Linked DNA regions of Arabidopsis thaliana. The protein of the gene in region 1 interacts with the protein of each later gene in a pairwise test. Each region holds a gene or a part of one and is shown on either strand. Other genes may lie near its edges.

Region 1 (3,106 bases):
GGAATGAGATAACGTTACCAGGGAGATTAGGAGACTTGGCTTATAGAATACTTATGGAATACATCTCCCTCGCGACTTACCTGCGCAATGAAAACTTTTTCTCGTCTTGTTCAATAGTTGTACTTCGCACAAAGGATAATACGATCATAAAAAGACTCATAATACGATCTTCGATATACCCGCGCAACGATGGATCACATAAACGGTCGCATGGTTGGAAAATTTAGGGCTCATCTCTGATTGTTTTATTTTCTTCACAAAGGGGCAAAAATATATATATACACTGTATATATATATGGGGTTTTTTTTATGGTCAAATGTTATTGCCCTTCGAATAAGAGACCTTTGATTCGTAAGAAGAGATTATTATTTTATAAGAGAAGGTTATGACCGAAAGGTTTCTGAAGAAAATGAAAAATTACTTTTAAAAGGAATTTTATCTTTAAAAGGAAACAAAAGGAATGGTTAAGTTTTACATGATTGGACGCAAAAATGGAAAATTCTTTTGATTACTTCAAAAAAGGAAACCCTCATTTCTTATTAATAATACATCAAATAAAAAACTAACATGATTTTTCGCAAAATATCCAATTTGTGAAGACCCTAACGCTCGAATTTGTCATCACTTGGCTCAGTCTTTCAACTTTTGAAAACTGAAACTCCTTTTTTCTCAATACTGTTAGATAATAGAGATATACTCGAGACGATTGAGCTTCGTCAAATGGATACATGCAGTATTAAAATCAGCAGTTCAAATACAAAGAAATTTAAATCATCAAGTATGAATATGTATGATCATGCTTCACGATCGAACAGACGAACACCACCAGAAACTCGACGTCCCACACGAACAGAAGATGAACCACCACAGTCTTTTCCCAATCGTAAGTGAGCCATATTGTCGCATAAGTTATCACGTAACTCGAGCATCGCTTGGTACCTTTGCTGCAGCTCCTTCGCGCTCAAACCTTCCGAAGGAAAGTTCCACCACATTTTATCTAACTTCTTTTCATTTCTCGATTCCTTCAACAGTTTCAACTTCTCTAGATCCATCGCAAGCTCCTCTTCGAGCGCCTCCATTTTTTTTACGAGGTCGTGGAGCCTTCGTTTCTTATAAGCTTCGACGAGGGGTCTGGTATCGTCTCTCTCTAATGGTTCTTGTCTCGAAGGGTTCTTTAACCGGTCAGCCACTTTCTTCATAGACGGATGTGCGAATGTATAGGGCTTCTTGGGTTGAGAGAAAATCAAGAAAGCCACTTCAACGTCACACATTGCTACGAGCTCGTTCATTTTCTTAAAAATTCCGGTTTTACGTTTTGAGAACGTAATCATCCTATCTCCATAGTTCTCCACCTTCTTCATCTCGATCTTTTGCTTCCCCTTTGTTTTTCTTCCCTTTGCTTGCTTCGTAGATGACATGTTTGCAGAAACCAGAACTAGTGTTTGATTTCTTGTAGGTTTGTTATTTTGTATGTAATGATAAAACCATGCGCAAAACACAATCTATTTATAGACCAAAGAAAGAGATAGGATTACAAAGTTTGGAGACATTAAATTTAAATCTTAGTTATGAAGAAAGTGTATTGACTAATTTACAAAAAAAAAAAAAAAATGTTGACTAAACACATTTGGCAACCACTTTAACATCTTCATTAATCAGTCAAGAAACTATTATGGTAACCCAATTGGTGTAATAGCTGGTGTAAAGGCTAATTGACCATTCAAGGAGGAATGTTCTTTTAGGTAATTACGAGTTTGTGTATCCCTTACAGGGAACATACCTCAGATCCAAAATTCTTTTGTTACAAAAAAAATAGGAAAAATTTGATATAAAAGATATCTACTACAAAATTTGTCCATAATATTCTTATTTTTTTGTAGATTAGTCATATAATTTTTTTAAAAAACTTCAAAATCCAAATTTATCTTATTTTTCTATCAAATTTCATTTAAAAAATAAAACTTTTTTGTATTAGTATAAGTCCGTTCATTTGATTAGTCATAACTTTTGCTATAATATTTTGTTTGACTTGAAATCACTATCGTTGGAAAGCTAATTGAAACTAATAGAATTGCTATAATATTCCGTTTGACTTGAAATTACTACCGTTGGAAAGCTAGTTAAAGCTAATAGAATTGAAGTCAATATATAAACATAAAAAAAAAATTTAAAAATTTAATTTTAGGTTAAAATAACTTTAATCTATTTTCTCTAAAATAACAATAACTTAAGGGATGCAATTTATACTTATAAATTTCCAAATTTATATAACATGAAACACATGAAAAATATTTCCTCTCATAGGCTACAGCTAGCTAATATAAAATAAAATCCACGCTTTTTATATGCTTAATTTAAACTCTAATTATTAACTCTAATAAAACCTAGTTTAAGTCCACGTATAATTTCAACTGATATTCAATAACTAATAATTTATATATTTGTTGCAATCTCTGTAAGACTATCGGTTAGGTTAATCATTCAAAGATATCTTCGTTTCATAAAACAAGAAAAAAACAAAAAAAAACAAATTTTCAAAAAGAAAAAAATCTATTTGAGGAGAAAAATAGCTGTGAGAGAGAAAGCTAAAGAGGCGACGTACCACCCACCTAACCACAACCAGATCCCCAAAAGACAGAGAACTTTCTCGATACGAACGCCAAAGAGAAGAAGACGAAGACGAAGATGATGGGTGTGTTGAAGTCGGCGATTGGGGATATGTTGATGACCTTCTCTTGGGTTGTCCTCTCCGCTACCTTTGGAATTCAGACGGCGGCGATTATCTCCGCCGGTGATTTTCAGGCAATCACTTGGGCTCCGTTGGTGATTTTGACGTCGTTGATTTTCGTCTACGTCTCGATCTTCACCGTTATCTTCGGTAGCGCTAGCTTCAATCCTACCGGAAGCGCTGCCTTTTATGTCGCCGGTGTCCCCGGAGATACTCTTTTCTCCTTGGCGATTAGATTACCTGCTCAGGTTTTCTAAAGATCCAAACTTTTTTCTGAATTTTTAAACTTTTTTCAGCTTACTGTTTTGGGTTTACTTGGTTTCTATCAATATTTGTGATCTGTGATAGTTTCTTTCAAATGGGTATAGGCTTGTGTT
Region 2 (3,322 bases), about 14 Mb from region 1:
ATCCTAACTAATACTTCATTGAATACATCATTGAACTCTTACCATTAAAAAAATAGTGATGCTTACGTAAATTTCTAAAGTAAAACCGAGAAACAGAAGAAGCCAAACCACTGTTATAAATGGGTTGATGTCTATCACCACAATTGAGATTCTTTATTAATTAGCTATTGCTATACGATTAATATTTAAACTTCAACGAAGGTGCTACGTATAAGATTATTTTAATATAATGAAAAAGATGCGACGTAAGCCGAAATATTTGATATACATTAATATCATCTCGATTCACTAGTACCATCATTCATATCATAATATACTTAACTACGGTTTTGATTGATAATCACTTTACAAAACGGTACAAAACGTTATAAAATATATAATTTTAACAATTACCAATCACAAAAACGTTGCTAAAAATTTTACTCTTAGTTTTTTTTTATAATTTTCTCGTATAGTTTTTTTTACAGCTTTGCATTGTTTCGAAAAAGCTAACAGCTAACAGATTTTAGTTACCATCGGACCCTATAAATTTATTCGTGAAATATCATAAAATTATTTACACCTTTTAAGTTTTTATTGTTTAATCATTTTTCTTTCGGTTTCTTTTTGTTAAATTAAAATAGATAAGTAATGAAAATCAAAAGAAAACCAAAGAAAAGAAAAAACCCAAAGAAAGTTATGTGAGAATATGGGATATTGGAATTGTGAAAATATATATATATATTTTTTTGTAAACTATATTTCTGACGTAAAAGCTAACAGAGAACATAAAAAGCACATGAATATATATGTAAAGAAAACAAGGCGTAATCGTTAAGGCAATAAGCCACAAATGGAGTAACAAATTTAAAGGTTTATGTGAATGTGACCAAATTGCTTCTAAAAGATAACCAACGATAATGATACTAAAATCTGTTACGTCAAAATGTTTTTTTTTCTTTTCATATATGTTTCTCTTTTTAGGTGGTTTGGTAAAAGGAAGAGAAAAAGAAACGATTACGATCATCTTTTATTCCTCACCGTCTCTCTCAATCTCTCATGCAAGCAAATACTGCAAGCCAGAGTAGCACAGACTGTGACACGAACGCCACTATCCCAACGTCACCTTCTCCTGCTCTTTCTCTTGTATTTCACTTTAGTCTCTTCTCTCAACTGTCGTCACCTAGATATTTTTAGATTCTTATTTCTTCACCCAAAACTCTTTTGATTGATCCTCTGAGTAACATTTAACTTTATAAATGTGTTCAAGGGTTTATATTCCACGATCATATATAAAATTATGTTACAAAGTTTCATTACATTAACTAACAGAACTCTATCCAAACATTAATCTTCTCCTTTTACTCAATTTCAACTAACTAACAGTTCATGCATTGAATTTTCAATTGTACTGTATGAATAAAATAGCTTAATAGCACATTAAATTTGACTGATTAAGTTTTCCAACATCAACAGCTGAATAAAAAAAAATATATCCTCAATGCAGACTCATAATTTATTATATAGATTAAAATATGTGGATACAGATAAGCATAACAGAAAATTTGACACCGAAAGTTGTAATGAAAAAAACAATTGTAAATAAATAAATACTTTTGCAAAAATAATAATAAAAATAGTTAAAATAAATAAAATAAAAAGCCACTTACACCAATGAAAAACCAAACCATCACCACCTTTAAGTTGTCTTTATAAAGACGCATGACTCTAACTTCTAGTCCTCCCTCTTCTTCTCCTCTCTTTCTCTACTCCAAGTTTTCACAATGACATTCTTCATCGAAGACACTAGTCTCATCATCAGCCACGTTCTCTACAAAACGGCACTTATCATCACCGTTTTACGATGGATCTTTGCATGGATCCTCCGTTACCGCTCAAGATCCTCCTCATCATCATCATCTCAATCCTCCTCTTCTCCTTCTATTTCATCACAAACCATCAAAGAAAGCCTAGCCGTGTCCGCTTTCCGCGACGCGGTGGAGAGATCTCCCGCGGCGATAAACGACATGTGTGCCGTGTGTCTAGGAGATCTTGAAGACGAGGACGAAATCAGAGAGCTTAGGAACTGTACTCACGTGTTTCATCGTGATTGTATTGACCGATGGCTAGATTATGAATGTTGCGGCGGTGATGATGATAACCACCGTACTTGTCCCCTATGTCGAACGCCGTTGCTTCCATCTTTCACTGATTACTCAACCGTTACTCAAACTAGTTGGGCTGTTGAACGACTTCTTTACCTCTTCGGCGACGATCTTCTTCCCTGACTTTTATTTTTCTTTTAGAAAACATTTGATTTCATATTTTTTTTATGAATATTGTAATTGGTAGAGGGGTCGAATAGGAAATATAAGAGTGATTGATCGCAATTATACGAAATCGAATCAATTTGATTTGATTGTATATACAAATGTTAAACTGTATTAATTCTCCTCTTCAGATAAATGTCTAACATTTTTTATTATTATTTCAACATTTTTCATTTATTTATCCTTTCTTAGTTGTCACATTCCGTTTTATTGTTTTCTACTTATCTCTATAGTATTTTTTTAAGTATAATTTTTACGGATGGGTTAAACTATTTTCGGATACATATGATACCCAATTTAATAAAAATATTATTCATAAAAGTTTGGGTGGATCGGATTATATTTGACCCGACTCTTCTATTGTTTTTTTTATCTAAAGTTGGATACAAATATTACCAAAATTAGATCATATCTACTAATTATGTTTCTATATTAAATAATACATATAGTTAGAATATTTGGTAATAATTTAAATCTATGATTCTCTTTTCATCTTTATTTAATTTTTTTTAATTTTTTTGGATAATCGTATAATACATAAAGTAAACAATTTTTTTTCATATATTTTGATTCAAATTTTGAAAACGAACATATATTATCCAATTATTGAAAAAGTATATGTTTAACATCACACATTAGCTAAAATATTTAGAAAATAATTCATAATCACACTGTAAATAAAATCAAAATGAATCCAAATCCGAATGACTAGGGACCTTAACTCAACAAGCATCCAAATTTAAAAATTTCAATATGTGCTAATTCTGTTTTTAGTAAAAATGTTTCATTTCACTGGAAATATAATAATTAATATATTCAAAAGCAATAAAAAATTTATAATATTATAAACATCTGAACATATAAAAAAAACCGAGACAGATGAAATTGCGGAACTAGTTTTTATGGTGGCATGGAAGGACAGAGTTTGAATCAACATTAATAAAAAATTTAAAATATCATTAATTCGCCGCTTCAATACGAGGCAGAATAAAATCAATATTTTTTAAATTATT

The links.
Region 2: the proteins of AGL57 (region 1) and AT3G43430 interact in a two-hybrid assay, tested with the Arabidopsis thaliana proteins (one large-scale study listed by BioGRID).

The regions. Positions count from the first base shown.
Region 1 is NC_003074.8:1,073,612-1,076,717, reverse strand, and holds AGL57 (AGAMOUS-like 57), read right to left. Parts: upstream 1,420-3,106; coding exon 796-1,419; downstream 1-795. Other genes in the region: SIP1A (small and basic intrinsic protein 1A), read left to right, coding at 2,687-2,977.
Region 2 is NC_003074.8:15,353,703-15,357,024, reverse strand, and holds AT3G43430 (RING/U-box superfamily protein), read left to right. Parts: upstream 1-1,530; 5' UTR 1,531-1,763; coding exon 1,764-2,267; 3' UTR 2,268-2,490; downstream 2,491-3,322.